3 linked regions of the Callithrix jacchus genome follow. The protein of the gene in region 2 interacts with the protein of the main gene of each other region in a biochemical or structural test. Links are inferred from orthologs where the notes say so. Each region holds a gene or a part of one and is shown on either strand. Other genes may lie near its edges. The genes, in order: SYNJ2BP, ACVR2A and GDF2.

Region 1 (10,256 bases), on a different chromosome or scaffold from region 2:
GCCTTGCATAGATATGAGAATTTGGCATTAAGTCATACAAAAGGGCAGCCTAACACAGTGCCTGGCACCATGAGAAGTAGAGACAGTAAAGTGTTATAGTTATGAATGCAGGTTCTGAAGCCAGATTGCCTGGGTTTAAATCACAGCTTCGGCACTTAGTTGCTGTGTAACTTGGACAAGCTACTTAACCTCTCTATGCCTCTTATCTATAACATGAAGATAACAAAGGCAGTTATCTTAAGAGCTGTTTTGAGGCTTAAATAAATATTATATATGCAATACCCTAAGAACATCTAGTACACAGTAAGCACTCATTAGATATTCGCTGAATGAAGGAAAAATCCCTCATCTGGCAGAAAATAAAGGAGATATTTAATCAACCATTTCCAAAATAAGGTGAAAAAAGATTGTAAAATTCAATGACAAAGGTTTATTAAATGCCAATAATGGCTAAGCACAATTAGACACATTATTATCTCATTAGCTGTATGTGGTACCAAATAGCAAAGCCTGAGAGATTACCACAGATTTTGATGGCCTCATTAATATATTTAATCTGTAGTGATATTCCCTGGATAATATACACAGTTTTATGACCATGTGTCTTCTGTGTCTTTGAAGTCGCTACAGGGCTCTATTTGATGTGAGAAACTGACTGCTGTTTATATCCAGTTATGCAATGTGACATTAGAATCAAAGCAGAAAGTAAGCAAAACAAAATAAGGTGGCTGGTGCAGTGGATTACACCTGTAATCCTAGCATTTTGGGAGGCTGAGGCAGGCAGATTACCTGAAGTCAGGAGTTTGAGACCAGCCTGACCAACATGGAGAACTCCCATCTCTACAAAATTAGCTGGGCATGGTGGCACATGCCTGTAATCCCAGCTACTCATGAGGTTTAGGCAGGAGAATTGCTTGAACCTGGGAGGCGGAGGCTGTGGTGAGCCAAGATCATGCCATTGCACTCTAGCCTGGGCAACAAGAGCAAAACTCTGTCTCAAAAATAAAACTAAAAAAAATTTTTTAATAGGGTTTATGAAGAAAATAATCTTCTAAGAACTAACATGTCCTGGAGATAAAATGCAAATATATCCAGTAATAAGAAGCCCATATTACATTACAGATAAAAGATTAAAATAAGATTCAATCTCCATTTGCAAATCTACAAACTATGAAGAAGGACTAACCCTTGTTCCTGGGATTAGTCACTAAATTTAATGATTACAGCAAATATAATTTTGTGAATTACTGGTGGTTAATAATTAACTTGCAATGAAAACATACTTTAGCTCTCACCCCTTTCATTCCAGCACCCCCCGCCCCCCACAAAAACAAAGAGAACATGAAGAGTGAGGAAAACTTGGAAACAGGAGCTCGTGTGTGCTTGATTCCTTAGGAGGAGGAATACTTTCTTTTAATATAGGTTTTCTAGTATCAAGTACATCAGTTAAGCTAATCAAGTACTTTGTGTTCTGTATATAAATAACATCATACAAGAGTCTATGGCAGTTAAAAATCTGGTTCCGATCAGAATTCCTTAAAATACTGTCTTCTTTTTTATTACAATTGCCCTTTTGGATGTGAGTGCTGGTCTCAAAAAGATATACAGTTAAAAGAGGAACAGCAAAAGGGACTTACACCAAAATAGCAGCCAACTCTAAAACTATTGTAGGTGAGAGGTAGAGAGCTTCATATCTCAATCTTCTAGGTGACGTTAGAAAAATACTTTAACATGAAAATCACCTACAAATATTCCTTCACTTTCATATGCTGAGCAGTTTCAGCTTAGAGTGACTAAGTCTTATTTATCTCTGTATCTTCAGCACCTAGCACATAGTATGCACTCATTAACTATTTGCTGAATGAAGGACAAAACCCTCATCTGACCAAGGATAAATTTCACTAAAATTGACTATAATAAAATCTTTATGGGCTCCACATGAAACTATGTGAACTCCACTTCCCCACATACTTGACAGCCTAGATGGCTCTTATGCTCTTTCATTTCTTTAAATGTATTTTAAAAATTGCTTATTTACACGATAAAAACAATGTCCACCACAAAAAACTCGTCTCTACTTTAAAACTATTGGAATTAGTCTCAGAATAACTCATCTGTATTTGATATGAGATCATTCTCAGATTGTTCTGTGGAATCTCCCAATTCCAATAATCATGCTTGCAATATCCTTTAGCTGTCTATCAGTTCTCCTCGTCTTTATTCAGGCCCAAAGAGAGAAGACTGAAGTAGACTAAGATAAAATGGATAGTTTGTGTATTCATCTAGGGAATATATTCAAGACATAAATATCAGACCGAAAGGTGACCTCTGCAGCAGACTAAGTCTGATCAGAGTTAAGTTAGCTTCCCTCTCTGAGCCTGGATTTTTCTCATCTCCAAGACAGATTCATCCTAGAATCTCTCTGGTCCTTTTTAGGTTCAACGTTCTATGATTGGTTCTCAGTTAATAGAAGCACAAACTGAAACACTCACTAATCATACATTTTGCTGGAGGTTGATCAATCCTTAGCAAATCCGGAGGAAATGAATGTTCTACTTTGTGCAGAAGCTCTGAAAGCTGGGCTCTAAAGGCCCAAGTTTTTTGTTTTTGTTTTTGGCTGAAGCAATGTATGTCATTTAATAACTGAAATAGTGTCTGAGTTTAAATGCCATATAACATTTTCAACTGAGGCTGCACACCAGAATCACCCAATGAACTTTATTTTACTGCTGCCTGAGTCCCACCCTCAGAGGTTCCTTTTAACTGATCTGTGTGTAGCCTGGGCATGAGGACATTTACAAGCTCTCCAGATGATTCTAACCCAAGCAAAGAGAATGATGATTGGCATAGAGCAATGAATCTCAAATTTTAGCATCAATCAGTCACCTGGAGGGATTACTAAAACGCAGATTGCCAGATGTGATGTCACACTCAGACTAGGTCTGGGATCTTGCTTTTCTTTTCTGAGAACTTGCTTTTCTTTTCTTTTCTTTTTTTTTTTTTTTTTTTTTTTTGAGACAAGGTCTCACTCTATTGCTATAAGGCTAGAGTGAAGTGGCACAATCATGACTCACAGCAGCCTCAATCTCCTGGGCTCAAGTGATCCTCCCATGTAGCTGGGCCTACAGGTGTGGGCCACCATGCTTAGTTAATTCGTTTGACTTTTAGTAAAGACAGGGTTTCGCCACATTGTCCAGGCTGGTCTCAAACTCCTGAGCTTGAGTGACCTGCTTGCCTAGGCCTCTTAGAGTGCAGGGATTACAGGCATAAGCCAGCATGCCCAGCCTATGAACTTGCTTTTCTGACAAGTTCCCCAGTAATGCTGATGCTTTTGTCCTAGCTTTGAAAACCACTACCAGTGAGAGAATATCACTGATGCTGGAACGTGAAGTCCTGAGTTTAAATCTGATTCTATTATCACCACCTATATCATCCTAGCAAAGTAATTTATTCTCTCATCTTTAGTCTCTTTCTGACAACAGTTAGATCCCAGAGTTGTGAGGCATGAACTAGGCATGCCATAGTGATAGTGTACTAATCAGAGTTTGGTCCAGTCCCTGGCACAGAACATAATAACAAATATTAACTTCCTTTTTCCATTATACATGGCTAGATGGTACAATTAAGTTAAATCAATAATACATTAATACATGTATTATTAATAATTCAATAATACATGAAGTTAAAACTTCACAGGAAAAGAAAGTACAGATAGTTGAAGCAAACAATCTTATTTTATATACGTAATACAGAGTGATAAATATAGAGAAATGTTTTAAGTACTTAAAAATATCTTTTTTCAATTTTCAAAACTTTGAGTGTAATAATTTAGGTAGCAGAAACATTAGATACAATCTGTAGAAGAAGTATTAGACTCAATATATAAAGAACATAAATTTTTTTACAACCTATAATGGATTCTGATACCTCATGTATAATTTTAGTTTTCTACAGAATCAACAGTATAATCAGTGTAATGCTTAAAACTGTATTACACTGATCTTAAATGCTATTTAATTTCTGAGAAAACCTAAGTTATAAGAGTACATCAGAATCCCTATTATCAATGAAAGCAAAACTTCTACCGATGATGGAAGAGGATACTTTTAAAAAAAATTTACATATACCAACAAGCAAAAAACTAGAGCTTTCATTCCTGTTTGTCCAAACCATGAAGTGATCCTGGGAGGTAAGCAGTTTTGCTGCAGAAGCCACTATACATACCTTCAGAAATAGGAAGGGTACGAGGCTGCGCCCTGCCAGTGTGGCTGGTTGGAGTAAGATCTAGAATACTGTCAGTGTTTTCCTGTGGAACCTACAATGAGTCCGGTTGTCTAAGTGAGTCTCAAAGGCATTAGGTCAAAAGGCACTTTGTCAGGACTGTTTAAAGCAAGTTCCTCCTTATACCAGTAGTTGACCCAGAGGCAAGGTCTTACTGGACCTTTAAAAGCCTTCCCTTTCCAATCTAGCCTGATGCCATTGTGTGACATCTTTTTTTCCCTGAATTCCTAAAAGAAAATGTGATGATTGTCTGTATATCTTCTTTGTTGCTGCATTGTGTTTTGTATGGTATCCTTTTATAACTGTTTTCAAAGGTTACCTAACTTCTCACCTATTTATGAATTCTCTTAACTAGCCTTAACTTGAGCTCCTCAAGGGTCTTTGACTTGTCCCTTTCCTCCACGTAACTTTCTCAAATGCCCCAGTTCTCAGTAACTTTTCTCTTTTGCTGTCTGTAATATAAACATGACCCCTACTTACACTGTCTTTCCTATGTGGCCAATAAGAGTGTTCTCTTCCCAGTTAGATCCCAAAAGCCCTATGGGATGGAGGATACACACTGCACTTCTTTGTAAAAGTGTCTTGACAAAGCTGATGTCCAATCAACATTTGTTTAATTACTAGACTGTCCAAAGCTAGAAATGAAATATAACTGATTGACTGAGTCCTCATAATCTTGCTATCAAAATTATATAAGGCCTATAGTAGGCCAATATATTTGGATAATGGAAATTATTTTCTTAAGAAAATTCAGCTACCCATAGTGCTTAAAACCAGCCTTAAAAGAACATGAACAGGACGGTTCCCACCTTATTGATATCACTGGCATTCTGTAATATCCATTTATTCATATCCTCCTCCTAGGCTACATGAAACACGTATCAAATTTCCCTACCTCCTAAAGCAAACAAAACTCTCTTCCTCCCTCTTGCTGCAAAAAGGTTTAGCCATATGTAGTGTATAGAGCTTTTCAAAAATACTAGCAATCCATGCCCTCTCATTTTAACTAAATCAGAAGCAGAGTTGATGTGACACCCATCTTGCCAGGGAGGCAGTTTCTTCTCTCAGGTTTGTTACTAGAAACCAAAGACAGCCTGAGAGAATTCAGGTACCACCTTGGAGGCACTACCTTATCATTTGTCCTTTTAGAGTTTTCTTACTGGAGTTGACTCCAGCACTATAGCCCTTACCACAATCCTTCCACCTGGTTCTTTTTTTTTTTTTGAGATGGAGTCTTGCTCTGTCGCCCAGGCTGGAGTACAGTGGCACGACCTTAGCTCACTGCAACCTCTGCCTCTTGGGTTCAAGCGATTCTCCTGCCTCAGCCTCCCGAGCAGCTGGGACTACAGGTGTCTGCCACCATGCCCAGTTAATGTTTTGTTTTAGTAGAGATGGATTTCACTGTATTAGCCAGAATTGTCTTATCTCCTGACCTTGTGATATGCCTGCCTCAGCTTCCCCAAGTGCTGGGATTACAGGCATGAGCCACGATGCCCAGCCCCACCTAGTTCTTTAACAAGACTGTGAGATATCAAAAAAGTCACTAGAGCAGCCCAGAGATATGTAAGATTTACCTTTACACCTCAAAGTTTCTTAGATATGAGTCTCGCTAGATTATGACAATTTATCTTATGATAACTCACTGTAGTCAGTTATTATTAGAAATATTGTTCTTCTAATAAGATTTTTAATTAGTCGCTTCAGTTATTTATTTATTTTTTTTAAGTAGAGATGAAGTTTCGCTATGTTGCCCAGGCTGGTCTTGAACGCCTGGACTCAAGCAATCTCCCACTTCAGCCTCCCAAAGTGCTGGGATTTACGGGCACGAGCCACCACACCCAGCCTCAGTGGTTTTTTTAATAAATGAGACTTACAACATCCTCTTATAAGGCTCACTCCCTTGCGCCTATTACATTTGCTCTGTATCTCTTTAAATTCTTCAGTTAAGATCATCCCTTTTATCAGAAACCTAGAAACCACAAAGTAGCTTTCTCATGAGCTCTTTAGTTCTCCATGGCTATCAATATTATACTATAATATTTGCATATGTATGTGTATGTATGTATTTGCTTTTTAAAAAAAGTAAAAATGCTCTTCTCACTCTCCTTGTCTGATATAGGCACCCAGGTATGTAGTTAGAAATTAAATAAAGGCCACAATAATTTCCCAAGGAAGATCATTAAAAAGAAAAATCCCTTCTTCCTCTAATATTACATAGCTGGCCTTTATGTGATGCCAGCTAAGAAAAGAGGTATCGCCTATGGTGAGAGGAAGACTGAATCTTTCTCTCTTTGGGTTATAGCTGAATTTCTATTGAAAGTCCTAGTAAAATACGTAACTTCTCCTTTGTTCTAAGCAAGTGTTTTCTTCAGTTTTCCTTCAAACAATACCTTTACTTTCCCATTAGGATATGAAGAATTGGAGATTCTGAACAGCAAGGTTTGGGGTGGGTATCAGTCACTTCAAATCATGTGCTGGCTACACAAAGGGAAAGACATGGCAGCATAGCAGGGGTGAGTGAAATGTTATCTTCATTGGGAGCACTGAAAGAGAACAAGTTTTTCAAAGTTGTCGCCGGTATCTCATGAAAGCCCATGCTGCTACCACAGTGAGGGCAAACAGTGGCACCAGCACCATAAATATGGGAATACCACTTGGGTCCCCTTCACCTCGATGTCCTACAGGTCCATTCTGCACCTGTAACTGGAAGGGAAAGAAAAACGTTAACTCTAGTGACTAACATGTGTTTACAACTGAAACACCCAGGTTGATACATCACCTGGGTTTGTAGACTATAGCCCACCCAAAGCTGTGTCCCCCAGCAATACCTAGCAGAAGGAGTCCTCTCTTTGTCCTGAGCTGATGCATCAGTGTCACAGGATCTTTGGAAAGAAAATAGGTCTGATGGGGAAGCATTTAACCTTGCTGACCTAAAGCGTCTCCTGAGGGCAAATCAAGTAATTTCTGTTTCTGTACTGCCTGTACCTTGCTTATCGTATCAGGAAAATGAAGACATGAGATAAAACCTATGATCCTATAGGGAACTTGGATACTACTTGGTGAGGAAGAAGGGGGATCTTTCTGGAAATGTCTATTTCAATAATCAGTCATCAAAATGTAGTAAGAGCAGATCTGGGCAATGTCAACGTAGGTGCAATGCCAACATAGGTGCAATGCCATTACTTGAAAAATGCTTTCCAAATCCCAGAAGGCACCCAACTCCCTCCAAAGATGGGGTTTTGCCCTTCATCTGCTCATTTCTAATACTAGAGAGAGATGAAGGTGAATCTATCTGGAATAGATGTAAAAAAGTAAAAAGAAATTATATTCTAGTGGTTATAATTTTCTATTGCCTAAGTGTTTCCTTTGAGGCTGGATGGTCTTTATTTTGGTGATGGTTTTCAAAGTGGCTCTTCTTAATATCAACTTTTAGTGGCTAACTTGCGATAATTATGGCACCATCGTATTTCAGTTAGTTAACTTCCTCATTACAATTCATAAAACGCTGACCCTTCAATCTGAAAGGCAAGACTGCACAAAACACCATTATACCCTCTATTCCACCTCTAGATTTTTCATTCATTTGCTGATGAGCTGTCTTGAGAGGATATAATCAATAGGAAGACATGGTTTTTTGGGCTAGGCCAATTCCTTGAACAGAAGGGTCTTTTTTATTAGGAACTGTTTATGGATGTTTCCTTAAAAGTAAACACTGGAAATAACTTTCCACATACCTTCCAAAACAACAGTAATCATATTGAAGTGTGTGCCTGTATTTACTTGTCTTTATCTACACCACAAATTCTCCCATGCTTTAGAAAGACAAGAGCCAAGGCAGAAGCAACTGATGACCAATATTATTTCTTATTCACCTGTTTTCTAATCCATTACACCCAGATGCTGCTTGCAACTCTGGTTGTTTTCTCAGGTATCTTTCACATTCTGTTTTCTCTACTCCTTTAATAACTCCTCTCAGTCTTCTTAAGCTTCTAAATCCTTAGCCACTGAGTGAGGAAAACAGTGCACCAATTTAAGAAGTAGCAAATTGATTACTTAATTTAAAGGCACATGGGACCTGTGTTGTGAATATACTCAGAAAGTCTCAGTGCTATAAGAGGAATTACATCTACCCAGGATTCCCTTTACAACATCATCCAAATTATAAAACACTAAGAAATAAGAAACAGATGCAGGGATAGGTGCTGCCTTGATGAAATTCCATTTCCTTTTTCCTGGAACTCTTCTATAAACACTAAAGCTTTGGTTAAGAGGGTCACCAAAGGCCGGGCGCAGTGGCTCACGCCTGTAATCCTAGCACTTTGGGAGGCTGAGGTGGGTGGATCACAAGGTCAAGAGATCGAGACCATCCTGGTCAACATGGTGAAACCCTGTCTCTACTAAAAATACAAAAAATTAGCTGGGTATGGTGGCTCGTGCCTGTAATCCCAGCTACTCAGGAGGCTGAGGCAGGAGAATTGCCTCAACCCAGGAGGCAGAGGTTGCGGTGAGCCAAAATCGCGCCATTGCACTCCAGCCTTGGTAACAAGAGCAAAACTCCATCTCAAAAAAAAAAAAAAAAAGAGGGTCACCAAATTGATAAATGAAGGGTTCATGGCAGTGACAGGCAAAAGCAAACAGTGGGTATTAGAAAACCCACCATCTTTGTAGTTAAGAGTTTTATCAAATGGTTTATAAATGAATTTTCTTTTTCTTTTATTTTTTTTTTAAAGGAGTGAAGGAGAGGAAGAAAAAGGAAGAAAAAGAGGGAGAGAGAAGGGAAATGTTGCTTTATTCTAAAAAAAAAAATGGGTATTAATAATGGCCAATGTTTCATTTAAACCTATGAGTAGGTGTGATGTGGTATTGACAAGAATGTATATTTTGTGTATTTGAAGTGGAGAGCTCTATAAATATTTATTAAGTTTACTTGTTCTGGATCTGAGTTCGAGTCATTGATATCCTTATTAATTTTCTGTCTCGTTGAGTCTAAGTCTCTTTATAGGTCTTATGTATCTGGGTGTTAGGATCATTAGCTCTTCTTGTTGCATTGATCCTTTTACCACTATATCTTTGTTGCTTTAAAATCTATTTTATCAGATACGAGAATTGCAACTCCTGCTTTTTATTTATTCATTTATTTTTGCTCTCCTTTTGGTTGGTAAATCTTTCTCCATCCCTTTGTTTTGAGTCTTTGTGTATCCTTGCAAGTGAAATGGGTCTGGATGTAACATGCCGTTGGGTTTTGGCTGTATCTTTTTTTTTTTTTTTAAATATATATTTTATTTTTTGAAAATATTTTGAAAGTAATTAAGATCCCTGATTGGAAGGGGGAAACAAATCAACACAATGAAATTTAGGAACAGAAATGCAAGAGCAGCTGCTGCATCCGGCCCCTTCCACCCGAAGGGCACAGCCAGGAGATGCTCATTTTATGATCCCAAGTGGACGCTGGGGTCCACACAGAAATCACTTAATTACCAGCCTTCTGGTGGAAGGACCCTGCCCAAAGTCAGGGTCAGAAATAGGACAGCTCATCGTGCTTGGCTTTGTTGGTCTGGTAGTTAGACAAGGTCAAGGGCTTGTTTTCGTGAGGGAGACTTTGGAATACTCGCAAGTGGACAAATTCCTCATCACTGACATGCACCTTGATGAAGTAGTTTGTCCCCGCAACCAGCCGGCTCCTGAAGGACACAGCCTCGAACACGGAGAACTTCTTGTTTTCTTTTTCTTCAAGCTGGGACCTCACCTGGTCGGCGATGTTCTGGGTCTCGGCGGTGGCTGGCTGCACGGCGGAGGCCACCCCGCGCATCATCGTGGCGACAGCAGAGGGACTCGGCGAGGGGACTGGGCCTGGCTGTATCTTTTGATTGGGGGATTTAGTCGATTTAAATTTAGGATTATTGCCATTTGATGTTAACTGGCTGTTTTATCCATTCGTTGATGTAAATTCTTCTTTATGTTGATGCTCTTTACTT
Region 2 (10,256 bases):
ACTCCCACGCCAATCCCTCAATCCTAGAAGAATCCCTATAGAGTGCCCATTTCTGAGCACTCTATTAAATTCCCTTTAAAAGTATAGTGCCCCATATTGAATTTTACATTCAAGTGGCAGTCTGTCCTACAATGAGAGCCTATTACAGTACTCAGAAAATAAAACATTCTTAGTAACACAGGTTACATTGGTTATTTAACTTATAAAATATTCACAATTTCTTCTATGGTCGTTGACAATCAAGGGAAGTTTTTAGGCAACTATAAATTAAAATTTAAGAAACAGATCAAGCTAATTTACATCTGTTTGGGAGTAACAGTCGACAAGTTTTTTTTTTTTTAAACCAGAAAAATAAATAAATAAAAGCAAACATCTGTAAGACTTGGACTTCAATAACAAGAACACAGAATGGAAACCCTTTAACCTGGGGGGCAGGTTAAACAGTTCTGTGTTGTTACTGAAGTCGGCCTTACCAAAGCAGACCTCTCCCTATGTATGGATCAGAGTTCCAAATCTAGGCTTCACCATTCACCAGCTTGAGGCGAAAGTAGTCAAACTACTTAATTTCTCTGTATATTAGTTTCTTCATCTGTTTAGTGTAATATCTACCTCTGAAGCTGTTTTAGGAAATAATCTCATGGTATGTGAAGTGTCCAGCAACATAGCTAGTATTGGTAAAGGATGAATACCCCTGCCTCCTGAATTCTCTACCACCTCTTGGAATCTATTTAAAAAAATAAAAAACAAACAAAAACTGTACTTTTTAAAATATTACCTTTGAATGTATCATCCCTTTTCATACATGTGTGTAGGCATATATACCTTTTTTTAAATTACTTTTTCCCTTACCATCTGCAGCAGTACAGCGAGAAGCCAGTTCCCACAGGACTAATCCCATGGCGTACATATCTATCCTCAAAAATGCATCCCTTTGGAAGTTAATAGCACCCTCTAATACCTCTGGAGCCATATACCTTCGGGTACCAACCTGAAAAAGATGTTAAAAGCAAAGAGTACTCATTCATTAACTTTATGAACTAACACTGTATGATTTTGTAAGAATCAAAACCAAATATCATCTATTACCAGGGTAAGTATACCAGACTATAGTATATAAATAGTAAGATCCTTTCTGCTTATACTTAAAAAATATATCAACAGACATTATGCTAGTACAGACTTGGAAGTTTTTTTGTTCCCCTTTCTAGACGTAATTACAAAAAACTGAACTGACTGTTAGCTGGGAGAAGGCCACTGCATACTTTTCAATTGTACTTTTGCATACTGTTTGAAATGTAGATTACACACAAAAAAAACAAAAAACAACTTTTTTTGAGGTCTTTTCTCTGTATTTAAAAAAAAAACTAATAAAATGTTGTAAAAATAATTAGCCAAGTAAAGGGCACATTGATGTTAAAAAGTTCTATTTGTACAAAATCTATGTATTTGTTTATTCATGAATTCTTCTGTCTTGGAGTCCTTTATTTATATCTGTCCCCAACAATTTGGTATTTCTTAGTACTGTAACTATGGTTACTAAGCTAGTACAGCTAGCTTTGGTTGGTGCTTGACAACATTCATATATAAATGCTTAAAAATACTTGTGAGATAGCTGGGTACATCACAACACACTTGTGATGTATTAGGACTAGAGAGTAGTCTAGATATTGGTACGCCCATAAAGCTCCATCCTTAGGTGGCTGTAATCTCTACTCTAGACTAAAAGTTGGGCAATTTATGCAAATATACATGCAACAGAGATTTTTTAAGAATAAAGACATATCTCTAAGCCTAAAGTTCAAGGAATCTACATGAAAGGGAAAAAGTAGCTCTACTTTTTAAAAATTTTCTACTCTGAATATTTTAATTGTACTGTCAGTGAGTGTTTCCCTAAAGCCTACTTTTCTCTTAAAGATAAATCTATGCCATCCAAAGTACCTACCTTTTTTATTACAAGATTATTGGTTTATCTACCATGTTGACATAAAATGTCACCTCTTTTATATGTGTTCTTCCTTTGTACTATATAAAATGTGCAATAACATGCAAGTCCCTCCAAATAGTTTTGAAATTTTCTGGTCCATGAAATCTAAAGTCAATGAGTCATTTGCCATAAGCAATTAATTTTTAACTCATCATAGAACCCAATTATGAAGTAGTTAAAATATGACATGAATGAGTCAATTTTTTTTTCTCAAAAAATAGGGGAAGGAGGGCTTATGAGGTACCAAATTAAGAACATGATCCCAGAATTTAGTCTTATGATAGTCAATCATTCAATTAGCTGAGAAATTTGTCCTCAGGCTTCCTACACAATCTTGGTAGTATTCTCCACAAAATTGCCTCCATTCCCATATACATTTGCAGTCAACTTTTCTAGAGCTACACGGCTACTGACCATTACCTCAAACTAAATTCTTAAACCATTAGTCAATATTGCCAAAAATTTTTTTGCCATGATTGTTTAAAACCATGACCTCAAGAACTAATAGGATATGCTGGGGAAACAAAAGCTAAGAATTAGTTGGCCAAAAAATTTACATGACATGAAAGATGAAGAAATGATAATGCCAAAGGCCTGAATCATTTAGCTTTGTAGAAAATGTCATCTTTTAGGTTGAACTGGTTTCACTGATTAAAAAGTGATCTTGGCTGGGAAGTGGTGGCTCACACCTATAATCCCAGCACTTTGGGAGGCCGAGGTGAGCAGATCACCTGAAGTCAGGAGTTTGATACAAGCCTGACCAACTCGGTGAAACCCCATCTCCACGAAAAATATAAACATTAGCTAAGAATGGTGGTGCACTCCTGTAATCCCAGCTACTCAGGAAGTTGAGGCAGGAGAATCACTTGAAATTGAGAGGCGGAGGTTACGGTGAGCCAACATCATGCCACAGTACTCCAGCCTGAGTGACAGAGCAAGACACCATCTCAAAAGTAAATTAATAAATAAAAATAAATAAAAGTTGATCTTGTTCCAACCTCAAAGTTTCTGAAAATAAAATGTATGAATAATGTTCTTTTCCCTTTTGGCCTTCAAAAACATTCCCATTACTAAGATCTCTGTGCACACAGAAGTGCAGAGAGGTGTGAAGAATTACACACCTAATTCAGGGGTTTACAATGGTTCTGAACTCTGGAGAGAATCTGGAGAAAAGCCATCAGGCTGATTAAAGAGTTAATGAAGCAATAAACGAGAAGCAAGAAACTATTATTGCATGGGAAAATGGACAGGGAATCTTTAACACACTGTAGTAAGGATAGTGACTAATTACCCTCCTGCTCATCTTAAGCTGGTGAAAAAATTAACAGACTAAAACTACTGAGATAGTATGAAGAACTCCCTAAGAATGAGGTCCATTAAAAGGTGCTGGATTATTCTTTGATCAACTTTTCAAAAAGAATCCTATGACATGCGTCTAAGGATTATTTTATGAAGAACTTGATCTAAACCACCTAAGTCCTCCACCACCATATGAAAATGTCTTCCTCAGAAACTTAAAGATATAACTCTATTAGATGCTGATTTAAACACCACAACAATTTTAGACTAATTCAGTCCTAACATGTCATTCTAAGAAAATATGGAACAAGTTTATTTTTTCTTACATTTCAGAATCATCATCCTTACCTGTCCATGGGTATCACCTGCAGACTTGCCAGCCTCAAATTTTAAGGCCAACCCAAAGTCAGCAATGCAAGCTGTCAGGTTGTTTTTCAACAGCACATTTTTACTTTTGATGTCCCTTGCAAATAAAAAGAGTATTCAAATTAAGTTTAAACAAGTTATCTTTTTCAATTTTTTATTGAAAGTGAAAAGGGGGGGAATATATATACTATGAAATGCAGAGAAAGGGGAAGAGAAAAAGCTCAGAGCCCCCATGTATCCTTAAACACAAGAGTACAGTGACAAACTCCTATTCACAATATGGACAAGAAGAAGTAACCCTACCCATAAGGCAGTTATATAAAAATCTGCTGTGCCAAAAAGATATGTTATCTATGTCTCCCACCTATCAATCATAAAACTGTTTTTTAAGATAATGTTTCAGAGTTCTTACATGCAAACTCCCATAGAAACTAAAATTTAAAAAACAAAATGAAGGAATTTTTTGAAAATAGGTGAATTGAGGTCTTCTGCTTTTTGGCATAGACCTACATTTTAGAATATTCCCTTATTAAGTGGTTCTTATATTCTTCCACCTGGCTGTAGAAAAGTATCTTATGGAATGCATAACAGATCCAATCTTTTTACCATAAACAGACACTGCTCTAGCTAGATCCTGGTGTTCTGAAAGGCAAAACAGTACTAAGGCAATAAGACATCCTATTCTACACACCTGTCTCAACTGGCTTATCCTAGGAACTACTATACCCTAGTTAAATACATGAGTAACTATGCCATGACTAGTGGTTAAATTTATGTACAGACACATAGACCACGAATGGGATATTGAAAGCACAAGGAAATACTCCCAAATGCTATAAAAGCCAATAATCAGTCTTAGCTTCAAAAGACTTTCAGGCCCTTTTCCTAATAACTTTGTGAATTCTTAAGAATTAATTCCCTATGTGGCCAGGTAGGACAAGGGAGAATCCAAGAAGAGGCCATTAGACTGCATGTAAGAGAGTGAGAAGAAAGAAGAGTTATTTCTGAGGTAGATCTCATTTAAAGTTTTCAAAATCAGAACCTAAATTAGCAGCTGACTTACAATAATGCCCCCCAGCAACCTAAAACATCACCTGGTAGCACTCAACTAAATATCTATTCCGTGAGTCAGTTAATGCCTACTTTTAAAACAACCATCTTTAAATTGAACACGAGATGACAAATTGAATCCCATGTTCAAGGAAATTAAATACATGGAAAATTGAATTCTGTGTTTAAAAAACAATCATTTTTTCCTTTTATGGCCATGAAAACTGTTGGGTCTAAGTACTATTTCTTCACTGGACAATTGTTTAAATGATGCCTGCCTCTACTTTGGCTAAAGATAATAAGGTGATTCAAAAAACAAGCAAGGAAGACATTCAAAGTCTCTCCTTCATTACATGCCCTTGTATAACAATCCCTGTAAATCATGTTTTGAGGTAAAACAAATGTCTTTTTCCTTATAGAGATAATATAATTTATAAGATAGAGGAAATACAATTTATTTTCAACCATGCTTTCAGAAATGAGATGAGGTAGATCATCAAACTTTACCAATGATGTTAACATATACATTATAAAAAATACTTCCTGGCCAATCTCAAGACAAATTTTAAAAAAGAAATGAAAATCAACTGTCTTGTAAAGCATGACTGCATAACAAGGAGGAAACTAAAATTTACCCAGGGGCTTAAAAGTTCAGTAAATATATACTCAATTATCTGGGAAAACAACATTTGTCTACCTGTGAGATATGGCAGGTTTGTGGCCATCTTTTAGGCCAGGTATATCCTCATGTAAATATGCCAATCCTCTAGCCATGGTTTCTGCAATATGACACAGTTCATTCCAAGAGACCACATTAGCCTTAAGAAAGTCTGACAGTGAACCCTAAAGAAAAGAGGGAAAAAAAGAAACTTATGTTCTCGACAAAGGCCATATGTATAAGGAGACGTTTCTCTTTACCTAAAAGAGGTTATGGAAGGCAGCGTATCTTTCCTTTCAGGGAAAATTATATCCAAGAAACAATCTTTCTGGAATGGTTCAAAGTTCCTTCCATTTCACATTAATAAACATTTGACCAGAAAGAAATACCACTGAACCTTAAAGGTTTATTACAAGAATAGTCAATTTCCACCAATCTATAAGACACATTTTTTTTTAAAAGACGAATGGAACAATCTAAAGTTCTAGAAAGTATTTTAAAAGCTGAAATATCCTGACTATAGAGATGTTACATCATGAGACTAGGAGAACACAAAATTACAACATAAAAAAACAACTAATATATAGAATATTCCTCTAGAAATTACTGTCGTCCTTTAGGTCAAGAATTAAGTGAAGTAAAAAAGCCATTTATATTTCACAATGATGAAACCAATTACCAAAAACACAATTTCCTACTTCACTAATGGTACTTTCACACTAGCTCTGGAAGTAGAAAAATTGAGGAAAACTAGCAATTATGTTTTGGTGATAATTACCCTGCAAGTTAGTGAGAGTTCAAGGATCAGATAAATTTCCTGTCTCTGGTTTTGTCCCTAAGCAAGACTGATTAAAACTGGAAAAAAAAAATAAAGTTTATGTACTCAAAATGAATTGTAAATGGTAAATGAAAATTACTAAGCATTATCTATACTAACATAAATGTTTATAAGAGTAATTACAGCACAAGAAATAAGGGAAAAAAGGGTGGTTTATATGAGTAGAGTGTTAGTTAAAAAGTTGCTATCGTGCTCACTTCGGCAGCACATACACTAAAATTAGAACGATACAGAGAAAATTAGCATGGCCCCTGCGCAAGAATGACACGCAAATTCGTGAAGCGTTCCATATTTTTTAAAATAAAAATTTTTTAAAAAGTTGCTATCTTCGCTCTTTTATTAAAATGAACTACCTTTTAAAACAGACTTTTATTCAAGAATTATTTTATTTTCAGGTTAAATACTAATCAACTATAACATGTCTAGAAAAATAACTCTGAGGGATTTATAGCCAACATTAGCTAAGCAGGCCAACCCAGACTTTACTAAATTAAAATGTTGAACAGTTTTACCTTTTCATGAAATGCTGTGATTAGCCAAAGATCCACATCAACACTGGTGCCTCGTTTTTCTGCACCAATGAACTGTAATATGTTCTCATGCTTCATTCCAGGCAAACTGTAGACTTCATATTCATTTTGCCATGACTGTTTGTCCTAGAGTCAAAAGGAAAGAATAATAAGAACACAAACAATACAGGTAAATAAACCATGTCTAAGAGATTACTCAAATAAGTTCCAAAGTAAAACAAAACAAAACAAAAAAGTACGAAAAAATCTTTTTGTTCTGTTGTGTAATAAGAAAAAGCTCTGACAATAGGTTAACGAATTCATACTAAAGACCAGCCCTGTCCATTCCCTTAAAACATACTTTTCTGTGTTTCTAGTTTACAAACAAAGAAGTTGATCCGAAATGCTACATTCTGTATCTTACAATGGCAACACATTTGCTTATAAGTTATTGCCAAATATTACATTGTAATTTCATCATGTTGTGAAGTTATTTGTGGTACTATTCAGAATAATCTCCCCAAAAGATGAAATACTGGTAGAATGACTTCCTCAAAACAAAACATTTCTTTTTTTCAAAGGATAACATCAAACATCCTTTAAAAAATGTTTAGCATACCCTGCAAAGTCAAGGAGAAAGCAAGTGGCATAGATTTGCAATGCAATAATTTAAGACACCATATGTTCATTTGTGCCTGTAAGCAATCCATGCCTACTAAATACCTACTTATAAAAGATTAGTTTCTTTTTACTACAAAAAGACAACGATAGTGAGGGACACTATGGCATAATGGTTAGAAACTCATAGAAACCCTCTGAATCCAAACTGTCCAAACTTAAATCCTGGCTCTCCCACTAACCTTTGGCAAGTTACATAATCCTTCAGTGTCCTCAATAAGTAGAACAGGCATTGCAGTGTATGTCTTATAGGATTGTTGTAGCATATGTTGCATTTTATGTACATGTCAGTAATATACATACACATATTAGTGAGGACTCATGTATGTAAAGCACCACTACCTGACCCAATAAAAGCATTCACTAAAATGTTAGCTACTGTTGTTGGGCTAAGGTTAATATCATCCAAATGTTTTTCTCTGATCTTTATGCTTTCTTGCACCTGGAAATAATTTCTTCCCTTATCTTATTTATGAATCTTGGCACAACAGAATGCCCTTTTTCTCTGAAAACTAAACTGTGGTTTACAACTACAAATAAAATGTAATACAATTCATAAACTCTATGTAATACAGTTCATAGACTGGACAGGCATTAAAGGAGGTAAGAAGGTTAAAATCTAGGTATATTAAGACAAAGAAATTGCTTATATGACAACTTTGGAAAAAGAAGATCCACTCTCTAAGTGTAGTGGTAGCGCCTGTATCACCAAATTCAGCCAAGATGTCAGTACCAAGGATATCATAAACCGCCAGGGTATATAAGCAAGAGGCAGTGAAGAAAGAATCATCATAAATCTACACCACCAACAGAACAAAACAAAATAGCTCAGAGGTGTATCAGATCAGAGTTTCATGAGAGGTCCAGCCAACCTCTAAAAGAAAAACAATTCAACAATAAACTGATTATTTGAAGTCTTGATTGTCTCTGAAAATGCATCAAAAAACTAAACTAACTAAACAGTCAAAGTAGAATGAAAATAAATCAAGTCTAGCAATATACCTCCAAATAGCAATTCTAAAACAAAGCATACCACTCCTTTGTTTCTCTGTTTGCTTTTTCTGACAATGTAAGGGGATATCAAAATTTAACCACTCAATTAGACTTGTTTATTGGAATCTTTATTTAAACATTTCTATAAAATTTTCATTGGCAAAAGATCTCCTATGCATTCATTTATTTTAATTCCACCACTCCAGACAAACATAATGAATGTTATACTAACAAATCCATTTCTCAGATGCAAAGGCAGCCATTAAAAGAGCTAACTGCTTTCCCAGTAACACAAAGAACCATCTTGGAACATATGGCTTCTGTTTTGAGACTATTTCTGAGTTATGATGACCTAGCCATAAAGCATATATGTAAGATAACAAAACTGCAATAAACATACCTGTATTGGAAATATTTTGACAGCCACATATTCATTGAGCAACTGGGCTTTCCAGACACAACCAAATCTTCCCCTTGCTTTCACTTCTAATAACTGCAGTGGCTTCAAACCTAGTAATGGAGAAGGTGGGGGTGGTCCTGGGTCCTACAGATAAACAACAATACTACTATAAATAGGCAGAACATGATACATATCAACTCTGAAAATGAGAAAAAAAGTGAGTGTACTGAAAAGTCAACTGACAGAAACAGTAAACACATATGGATGACATTCATTTCAATTTTGCCATAATTATATTACCAATTATCTATAGTGATCACAAGGCAGGCAACCTGAATTAAGAGTTTTCATAGTAACATTCAGCATTACTGCTATATATGTAGCACAAGAGAAAATATCTAAAATATTTCTGATACAGTCTCACTAATTTTCCCCACTAAGATTTTCTGTGAACTATGAATTACTAAAAGTATCTCATTTATTTCATCCAGTTTGTACTTCCTTAGAAGAGGAATTGAAAAGCACCAGAAACAGCAAATTATGGCTATATATCAGTGAAAATCACTCCTTAACATCTACTACTTTTTCCAGTGACTGTTTAAAATTTTTCTTCATTAATCTCAGAGACACCCGCAGTCATTCTTAAACACATTGCAGATAGGTATATCAAATATAAAGCACATACCAGAAATGTCAGTTAATATTTCTTTAACCAAACTGGTTCATTCTAATTTTCAACATATTAACAATTCATCCCTTTGTTCTGAGGTAAAACATTATCTGTATTCTGGAATTGACTGACTGGCAAAGAAGCACAAATAAAAAATCCAGAAAAGAAGTGGTCATCATAATAGATAACAGAATATGGTAAACAAAAGAAAAGTACGCTGCTATAGTTTTTTTTTAAAAAATAGAGCAAACATAATATATAAATAGGAATACAGCATCTACAAATCACAAGGGAATCCTCCCTATCAAAGCAGAATACAACCCTTCATTGAAAACATTCTCTCGGTTCCCTATCTTCAACTAAAGAAAGATGCAGGAAGCCTTCTGAAAAACTTCCAGAGAAAAGCAACAGAATGGTTCGGAGAGCTGCATAATGAGTATTCTGAGGAGGAACTAAAATTTCTGTGGCAAAAGCAACTGATAAGATGACACTGGGTGGCACCTCAGACACTTAGAAATGGTAATGTCATCCCAGATTAATGCATCTCTCCCTGCCTTTCTTTTTATCTCTTCTAATGCCTCAAAGACAGTCAGTAACTTCTTTAGGCATCACTCAGCTCACTGGTGCCACTCAAGAGTTTTTAAAGTTTACTATATATTAGAAAGGACCTCAGCAACAGAAACATTGCAAGGCGTTATATAGAAAAAACATGGAATTTCTTCTTCTAAATAAGACCATCTTTATAAAATGACTTTAGAACTCCTATTTAAACAGTAAGACAAAACAGAAGATTTCCTGTGACTCATTTCAA
Region 3 (9,534 bases), on a different chromosome or scaffold from region 2:
GTGCTATCTTCCAAGGCTCAGATTCTACGACCTGTAAAGGAAAAGAAAAATGTTCTGAAGGTTTCTTCAATCTGACCCTGCATAAACCATCTGTGTTCCCTGCTGATTTGAGGTGTGGCCCGTCTTGGGCATGGTTTCCTTGGGAGAAGGACAGGGAAGAAATGGCAGCAGTTCTGACCCCTCCCCCAAGGCACTGATGCACCATGTCACAGGCCAGCCTTTGAGAGATGAACAGTTTTCCTGCCCTCGGCTGACACATTGGAGAAACCTCAGGGCTTCCTCATCCTGCACCTGGGGAGGCGGGCAGGGCTGACTTAGCAGCAAAGTTCAGACTCCTGTCTTCCCAGGACCAAGTCACTCCTGAGGCCTGAAATAGCTGCCGAGTACCTCAGGGACTTGAGAAACCAAGATGCCACCCTCTACATGCATTCAGAATTGGCTGTATTGTTGGTGGGGCTGAGTGCAGAATGAAAATGTGGGCCCCTTGTTCAAAACTTATTACACATTTCAAGATGGCAACAGCAGACCATTCAACCAAGCCCAGAGCCTGAGCGCCTGTTGGGCCACACACCCGAGCCTGTGAACACTGGAGCGCTCTCAGAGCCAGGTCCCTTGCAGGTGAAAGGCCAGTGTGGCCCTACTGGCCTCTCCTCTGTCTCTTTGCACCATCACAGCTGGAGGCTGGGCCTGCTGCAGGGGCTGTCATGGAAGGGATCGAACCCCCAGAGGTGAGGGTGGTCCAGGCTCCATTGCTGCATACCTGGCACTGTCTCTTCCACCTACCTTCCTCGTCTGCAGAGGAGCAAACCCACCTTACTGAGGGCTACTGTAAGGATGACTGGAGATGATGGTGTGCAGCCTTCCAGGTTCAGGTGAGCCTATCTTAAGAGGCCCAGAATAAGGGGCCCCAGGGGCAGGCATAGCAGAAATCTAAGGAAGACTCTGAGGAGGAGCTGATGTCCAGGGCAGAGAGAACGAATCAGAAGAGCCGGATACAGAACCAAAGCCTTGGTGTCCCACAGGGAAAAAGAGCTTTGGCGTTCAGTGGAGTGGGGCTTCCCATTCCAGCTGTGCTGGGGAGTTAAGCCAGGCTCAAAATAGACAAGGCTGCACACTCTCAGAAGCACTGACCTGGGATTCCACCTCTCTTCCAACTCTGGTAGAATTCTGGAAGAGAGCATCTAGTCCAGGTAGAAATCTGCAGAACAGTGACCTTGGCTTCCCTGGAGCACTTTGGCTCAGAGTCCAGGGAAGGGAGAGTCCAGGGAGGGGAGAGTCCAGGGAGGGTGGAGCCCAGGGAGGGCAGAGTCCAGGGAGGGGAAGTACAGGGAGGGGAGAGTCCAGGGAGGGTGGAGCCCAGGGAGGGGAGAGTCCAGAGAAGGTGGAACCCAGCGAGGGGAGAGTCCAGGGAGGGGAGAGTTCAGGGATGGGAGAGTCCAGGGAGGGGAGACTCCAGAGATGGCAGAACCCAGGGCTGGGAGAGTCCAACTTGGGGGAAATCAGGGAGGGGAGAGTTCAGGAAGGGCAGAGCATAAGACACGGCAGCACCCTGGTAGAACAGAATTTGCCCACGAGAGCATAGATTATTTATTTGATCTTATTTATGCCCTTGTTTTGATTTTTCCTGCAAGTGTGACTTTGATCTTGACACTGAAGAAAGCACCAGGACTCCATACAGTAGAGAGAATCTGGGCTTGGTGTCCCAAACTGGAGCTCAAATTCTGTCTCCAGCAGTGGCTGGCTTGGCTTATGGTTCTAGCAAAGCGTGAGGGCTTCACATGCTTCTGTCTTCTGTGTGTTTGTAAAAGGCAGAACGAAGACTCCTACTCATCTGCTGGTTATTTAGAGCCACTGAAGGCAGCTCTGGGCCAGGGCAGGTTTCAGAGGTGCTCCTGGCAGCCTCTCTGTGTCCCCATCGTCTTGCTACCTCTGTCTCTCCATGTGTCTGGCTGCTGCTTTCTATATGGCATTCCTGAGCCTCTCTCCCCTCGCTATGGCACAGAGGTCAGGGCACAATGAGGGGCAGAGGACAGCCTGGCCATCCTGCCGAGTCAGTGCATGGGTAGGGACAGGCCCCTGGCTTTGCTGGACTTACACTTCTTCATCCATGTGACAGTGATAAGATTGCCATCCTGATGAAATGCAAGGGAAATACTTCAGGAAACTTGATGAATGCAGTCTTGAACTGGTGGTCATCAGGCAGAGGAAATGTGATCAAAAGAATAACCCAGTGACATGGAGGCTGGGAAACATGCCATGGGTGTTTCCTTGCATGCTCTGTCACTGCACATGGGTACAAATCATGTTTGCCCTCTGGGAGTGACTAAGGTGAGCACACAGGTCTTGTCCCCAGGGGACTCAAGACAAGATGTCAGCAGCTCTCAGTGCCAGGCCCACGAGGACTGTGCAGGAGGAGGACTGTGGCCCTCCTCAGAGCCCGAGAGGCCCAACCGGAGCATCAGGAGGCGGGTAGGATGGCAATACAGTAGCTAGGCCACCAGAAGACTGGCTGGGGCTATGGGACTGGGAGTGGGGTCGGCAGGGCAGCGCCCCTGCAGGCAGAGAATAAGAAGGTGGTGTTAGGCTGGAGAGGAGAGGAGGACTTAAGTGTTGTCTTTTAGGGCATTCAGGGTCTGCCTCTCCTGATATACGGGGAGGTAGAGGAAGGCAGGTAAGTAAGTGTCATCTTTGATTTGCAAACCCCTACAAACAGGTGCCCCACCCCCTCACACACAGAAGCCCATACAGGAGCACACCACTCACGTCAATGTGCAGACACCACATCACTCAACCCCAATGTGCGCACACCACATCACTCACCCCAATGTGCACACACCACAACACTCACCCCAATGTGCATACACATCACTCATCCCAATGTACACACACCACATCACTCACCCCAATGTACACACACCACTTCACTCACCCCAGTGTGCACACACCACATCACTCACCCCAGCGTGCACACACCATATCACTCACTCCAGTGTTCACAGCACATCACTCACCCTAGTGTACAGACACCAGCCACCTACATCCACCCGGCCCTGGGGCGGCTGCCTGTCCCTCCCCTCTGCCCCATTAGGAAGGGGAGGCCCATCCCAGTGGGGTCTGGAGGGTGTAGCAAGCAGAGTATGTGTCTAGATCGTCCTCAAGATCGGGTCTCACATTCAGGAGGGACTGCAAATTAGACATTTGACTTTATTTCCGAGTGAGACTTTCAAGCAGGCACAGAAACACCACCAGTACTGAAAGAAGATGCTCAACACCCAACTTGGAACAGCATTGAAACACCACACTGCCCGGCATGTGCCAGAAATTCATGTTTTCTTTAACACCAGTAAGTAAACCAGAATGTTTCATTGTATTTTTGTGTTAAAGTTGTTCATTGGTTCCATGTAAACATTTAACATAATGCTTTCCCATCCCCTCCCACACACACTGTTTAAAAAAAATAAATGGGAGCAGCCCTGGCCTCTCTAAGCCTCCCCTAGGCCCTGCTCTGGCTGGAGGTCAGAGGGCCATGGGTGCACTCTTCACTACTTTCAGAATCTTCCTCATACTGCCCCATTCCATGTGTGGCCAGGAGATTCGGAGGAGAGGGTGAAACACTGAGCAGGTGGAAGGTGCGTCCTCCCTTGACTTCGTGGAGCCTGGGTCTGGTCCCAATCCAAGCTCAGGCAGGGCTCTGGGATGCACATGCATGACTCAAGAGAGCAGGCAAATGCAGGCAGAGCCAGTGATTGCCCATAAGGACTGTAGCTCTTCTGAGGCTGGGGAGGCCTCCTCCAGGAAGGCTGGAGTCTTGTCACTTGAGGACATGTCACCAAGGCATTAAACTAGGAATGTTTCAAAGACCAAAGCACGAGCACATTTAATTCCAACAAATTCAAATCCAGGCCTGTCTCCCATGGGGTTGTCACTGGGGACACCCTGGATACCATATGCTGGTGATCTGGCTATGCTGAGTAACGGCAGAGACACCGGCCCCAGGTTGCCCCGTCCCTCAAGGGAAAGTGTGGCCCGCCCTCTCAAACGGTCACATGGTTTCAGCCATGGACGGCGAGTGGTCCCGTGTGCGCCATTGGCCGCAGGAGCACTGCATGAGGGGGTCATAGTGTATCATGCAGCCCACAAGGCTGCTGTCCTGACCTCTCTGTCTGTCCTGCTGTTGGCCGGAGATAGTTTCTCAGTGCCTCAGAGGAGATATTAAAAAACATTTGGCCACTGAGTGAGCACTGGCAACAGTGGCCAGACCATGCCCTGGATGTGCCAAGCAGCCCAGTCACATTTGTGACTGATGAGCCTCAGCCCGGCCTGGCCTGAACACTCCTGGGCTCCCAGTGACTCACTGCTCTTTAGCTAGGGAGGACCTGCTAAACTGCAGCGGGGCACTTGGGAAGATCCTGGGCTTTGGGGTTCCACAGAGCTGGGTTGGAATTATGCCATTGATCAATGCTACTTCATGTGCCTGCGTTTTGGTCTCTGTGTCTCTAAATTGGAAGCCATGCCCCTCTACCTGGGTTGTGGGAAATAATGTGCAGTGATGGATGTGGAGCATGGCCTGCTCCTTCCCTCCACTCCGCAGGGTTTTGGAATGAGCCCGCCCTCCTCCACCTCTCTAATCTCCATCAGTCTCTGCAGTCACCTGCCCACCTGTGCTCCTCTGGCTCACTGCTGCTCAGTTTTCTGCTGACTCTGAAATATTTTTCCCCTTGTCTGCTTTTTGTCACCTCCTTCCACCCCAACAACCCTCCCAGGCTTTCCTGTTGTGCTCAAACCCCCATTTCCTTAGGGTTCCCTGGCAGTTGAATTGGTGGTGTGTGCTTTGGGTGGGGGATGGGGTGGGACAACAGGCTCCCTTTCCCCCTCCAGGCTGGCATGCAGATAGAATCAGTCCTTGTTGTGCCCAGGGGGATGCAGGACCTCTCGTGAGGAGCCCCTTTCACCTGCCTCCCCAGCCCCACAGGCAGGTACTACCTGCACCCACACTCTGCCACACTCATGCCCTCATAGTGGTACTTGAGGGTGGGCACCCCCATGTCATCCTTGTAGAGGACAGAGATGGGGCTCAGTTTGGTGGGCACACAGCAGGCCTTGCCCACCTTTGTGGGGAACTTGAGATGCACCAGGGTCTGCACAATCGCATGTTTCGTCGGCGTCACGTCATCGGCCAAGGGAAAGAAGCAGCCACCCTTACACTCGTAGGCTTCGTACTCCTTGGGCGCGATGATCCAGCTGTCCCAGCCAATGTCCTCAAAGTTCACCAGCAGAGAGGTCTTCTGACAGTGGCTGCCCGCCCCGGCACTCCTTTTCCGTCTGGCTAAAGTTGGTCCTGCAGCCACGTGGCTGTCCTCGCGGCTGCTCTCACCTGCCTCTGTGGAGCCATCCTTGGACAGCTTCTTGAGCACGCTCTCTTGCTCATGGCCGATCATCTCCCTGAGCTCCAGCCTGGCCTCCTTAGCCCCGCTGCTGTGGTCATTGGAGAAGACGACAAAGAAGGGCAGGTTTCCAGAACCTGGAGGAACACTGATGTCCAGCTTGTCACAGCCCTTCCTGTGACTCTCCACAGTCACTTCCAGCTTATTTTTGCTCTTAGTGGAGTCAGCCCGGACCCAGCGCTTCACGGCGCTGGACACTTCCAAGGTCTCCCAGCCCTCATCCCGAATGTCCTGGGACACCAGCAAGTTCTTGGTCCCGGCAGCACTATCCCAGGCATCTGTTCCATCCAGAACATCGTAAATGACCATGCTTCCTTTCACGTCGTGAGAGGCATCCACGTGATTTTGACAGGAGACATAGAGTCGGAGCTCGGCCCTGGTGATCTGCTCGTGCCTGGGAATGGAGATGTTGAAGAGCAAGATGTGCTTCTGGAAGGGGAAATCCTCCGTGGCAGTTACCGAGATGGCATCTGAAATGCAAACATACCTGGTGGGCATCTGCTGGCGGCTCTGTTTCTGTGACCTGAAGCTAAGTCTCAGGGTTTAGACAGAAGAACATCTGGGCTAACAGTTTTGGTCTCTAATCTCTATTTGGTTTCACCCAAGCCCTTAAGATAGAAGGGTATTTTGAAAGGCACATTTAAGATCTTCCAAAGAAAAGCAAAGGCAGGAGATGCCTCCAACTGAGACTGACAACTCCTACTGTTTCCCGAGCATCTACTATGTGACAGGCATTACACGGGAAGCTTGGCAGAATACATCTCACATTAATCCTCACACTCACCCTGGGAGGATCTAACTATTATTCCACGTTTACAGATGTGGAGACTGGGACTCAAGGCTACCAAAATGCACACAGCTAGTTAAGTATCCTGGCACTTAGTAGCACACAGATAGTTGAGTACATAAAGAAAGCAGCAAAACTCACTGTCAGGTCCTGAGTAAAGATTCTGAGTGTATGAATTTAAAGGAGAGATCCTGGGTGGGGACAGGAAAGCTCAATATTAAGACAATGTTAAAAATCTCAGCATTAGCTGGGCATGGTGGCGCGCACCTGTAGTCCCAGCTGCTCAGGAGGCTGAGGCAGGAGAATTGCCTGAATCCAGGAGGCGGAGGTGGGCCAACATCGTGCCATTGCACTCCAGCCTGGGTAACAAGAGCGAAACTCCATCTCAAAAAAAAAAAAAAACAAAAAACAAAAAACTCAGCATTTGCAGTGTCTAAGTTGTCTGGAATTGTAATTTCCAAACAAAGTGAAGGTGGACGGTCGTTTTCAGGGCTTGAGGGAAAAAACCTATTGGCTTAAATTGCTTTGTCATGTCAATCAAAAATGGGGCTTGCCTTTTAGCCACATAGTTGTCTCAATTTCCCATTGATCCTGGGCTGACACTTTGTCATTAGCATGCTCCTGCTATACCGTGGCTGGCTCACAGGCAGGGGAAAGTTTGCATTTTTTGAGCACTGGCTGTGCCCACATGTGTGGAGACCCTGTGCTGTAGGGAAATCCAGCCGGCAGGTTTTGACGTTCCAGTCCTGCCTCTGCAGACCGGTTAGATCTGGCCTGGCTGTGGTATGGAGCTGGGGCCCTTAGCCATTTGCAAGTCTCAGACCCAGGAGGGGAGAGGCCCTGTGCTCCTGGACATTCAAAGGGAGAAAGCAGCAGCAAAAGCCAGCTGTGCAGGCAGACAGGCCTAGGTCAGAATCCAGTGGCTTAACACTTCTTAGGAGACTTGGGTAGATACCCTGGGTGGCTGCAAGCTTTGACTGAACAGTTTCGCTGTTCAGAAACTCATTTCACCTGCATCATGTGAGCTTGACTGAGTTAGGACATAGGTTCTAGGTCCATGTTTGTTATCTTCCAGTCCTTCTAAGTCAGACATGTTTCTACTTAAAAACGATTAGGTTCTCTTCCAACATTTCTCTGTTAAAGAATTTTATCTGATTTTTAAAACTCTTTCACAAGAAAGGAATAGATGTGCTTTCAAAGTTTAAAAATATACAAGTTAGTTGGGGAAGAAATAGGTTGTCTGATCTGTTTTGAAGTAGGAAGAGGACAGGAAGTGAAGGGGGAAGGGAAGAGAAGTGAATCAGAGCAGGGAGATGGAAAGAAGAGGAGAGCAAAGGGAAGCGGGGGAAAAAAGGGGAGCTGGCATCCCTGTGCACCTGCTGTGTGAAACATGACACACAGCCCAGAGAAGGTGAATCCTTCAGAGCAGAGCGGCCGAGTAGCACTCTCAGTGACAATGAAAATGTCCTGCAATCTGCTCTGCCTGATAGCAAAGCCATTAGCCACACATTTGAAAGGAAGCTGGTGAGGCCAAAGAACTACATTTTAATTTTAGTTCATTGTAACTAATGTAAATGAGTTTGAAGAGCCTCCTATGGCCAGCAGCCTCCACGATGGTCAGGGCAGCTGTGGACCTGTGAGCCCCACCCCAGTGCGCCTGATGCAAGCAGAGACGTTACCTTCCATGCTGAAGCTCCGCACGATGTTGGACGCTGGCGTGGTTGACTTATCGGACATGTACCTGTTGTACAGGTCGATCATGTACTGCGGAGGCTCCACTCTGGTTTTGTCCTGCGAAGGGACCCCGCTCAGGTTAAGGCTGCGTAAGAAATCCACCTTCATGTTCTCCAGAAACAGCTTCAGGTTGAAGGTGTGCTCTGGCAGCTCACCTCCAGGCACCCGCAGTGGGCTGTGGGCATTTCCCCCAGCAGACCCTTGTCCCCAGCTCTGCAGTGGCTTCCCCTGTAGGGAGCCGGCCAGCAGGGACAGCAGGGGCAGGGCCACCCACAGTGCCCCAGGACACATCTTGGGCCCACGCAATTACCCAGAGAGGAGATTGCAGGCAGCCGTGCCGTGTTAGCAGGCTCGGGGAGGAGCTGGGAAGGAGCAGGCGGGCATCTCCCTGCTGTTTGCTCTGAAGGAACCGTCCTGGCCAGTGCCCACTCTTGCCTGCCGCCAGGCTGGATTGTCCTCTACTTGTGCTAATTTGGTCCTCGATGCCTCACTCCACCCTCTTATCTGAGGGAGCCCTTCGTTAATGAAGGCTCTATAAACATCTGACAAATACACAGGGCATGTGGGAAGGACATGGCCTACTGTAAAGAATCTGCGCTTCTCCTGGGGGTTATTGCCCCCTAATTAGGATCCTTTCTCATTTCCTTGCCAGGGCTGTTCAGAAGAATCTCCAGGCAGGGTGACATATACTCTATCTCCTGGGCCACAGGAGTGAAGAATCCAGGAAACAAGACCAGTAAGTCCTCTAAATAAAGAAAGGGCAGTGCAAGATCACAGTGAACCGTGGAGGCTGGGGAGATGGGGGTAGGGTGGGGACCGCATCAGAGCTCAGAAGAGGCCTGCTCCTTGTAGAGTCAGAACCTGTCAGCAAGCCTCCCTGCTCTGTTGGTGGGATACATTGCTGAGCATTAGAGATCACGGGTGAATATGGCTCCCGTGCAAATTAGTGTGGTGATGAGTCCAACTGGACAGAGGCTGGGATCTCAGCTCACCAATTGCCCACCAAGTGACACCTGGAGAAAGTCACTACAGCTCTCGGAGCCTCCCATTCAGAAGACAGCTGTAGATGGTTAAGAGGATGCTGTGCCCCAGGCTGGCTTGGTGGCTGTATTCTGGCTGCCGCATCTCTAGCCCAGGGCTGACTGAGCTGGAGATGGGGGAGGAAGCCCCAGATTCCCCTGGCCTGCTCTGGGGGAGCTCCACAACACACTGCAGCCTGTGGGGAGCTCCTCACATCCCCACATCCCAGCCCTGTCGCTGGTCTGTTGTGACGTGTCTTAGCTAACATTGACCTGGCAGACACCTGGGCCACACTCATCAGCAGGGAGAACCACGCAATCTGATACACAGGGGAGTAGGTGGGTTGTTCAGAGACTGGTACATGCCAAGAAGATGATCCCCTGGCCTATGGAGGCCGACAAGCTGCGGTCCAGGCAAGGGACCCAAGGACTGCGTTAAGAGCAATGTGTCCACACTTGGACTCTGTTTCCATCACGTGGGGCTTTGAGCAAAGCAAAGAAGGAGCATGGTCAGAAATACTCCGGGGTATGGTGTGCCTGGTGGTTTACT

The links.
Region 1: the proteins of ACVR2A (region 2) and SYNJ2BP form a complex in vitro, tested with the Homo sapiens proteins (2 studies listed by BioGRID and IntAct, with this or other methods). The link is inferred for Callithrix jacchus from reciprocal best matches to the Homo sapiens genes ACVR2A and SYNJ2BP.
Region 3: the proteins of ACVR2A (region 2) and GDF2 form a complex in vitro, tested with the Homo sapiens proteins (2 studies listed by BioGRID). The link is inferred for Callithrix jacchus from reciprocal best matches to the Homo sapiens genes ACVR2A and GDF2.

The regions. Positions count from the first base shown.
Region 1 is NC_133509.1:105,332,843-105,343,098, forward strand, and holds the end of SYNJ2BP (synaptojanin-2-binding protein), read right to left. Parts: exon of another isoform or gene 6,991-10,256; intron 6,985-6,990; coding exon 6,844-6,984; 3' UTR 1,004-6,843; downstream 1-1,003. UniProt on the Homo sapiens protein: Regulates endocytosis of activin type 2 receptor kinases through the Ral/RALBP1-dependent pathway and may be involved in suppression of activin-induced signal transduction.
Region 2 is NC_133507.1:82,453,855-82,464,110, forward strand, and holds part of ACVR2A (activin receptor type-2A), read right to left. Parts: intron 8,920-10,256; coding exon 8,776-8,919; intron 6,852-8,775; coding exon 6,708-6,851; intron 6,492-6,707; exon of another isoform or gene 6,385-6,491; intron 5,543-6,384; coding exon 5,397-5,542; intron 3,747-5,396; coding exon 3,632-3,746; intron 989-3,631; coding exon 850-988; intron 1-849. UniProt on the Homo sapiens protein: On ligand binding, forms a receptor complex consisting of two type II and two type I transmembrane serine/threonine kinases.
Region 3 is NC_133513.1:41,182,857-41,192,390, reverse strand, and holds GDF2 (growth/differentiation factor 2), read right to left. Parts: upstream 8,472-9,534; 5' UTR 8,257-8,471; coding exon 7,911-8,256; intron 5,915-7,910; coding exon 4,980-5,914; 3' UTR 3,194-4,979; downstream 1-3,193. UniProt on the Homo sapiens protein: Potent circulating inhibitor of angiogenesis. Signals through the type I activin receptor ACVRL1 but not other Alks. Signaling through SMAD1 in endothelial cells requires TGF-beta coreceptor endoglin/ENG.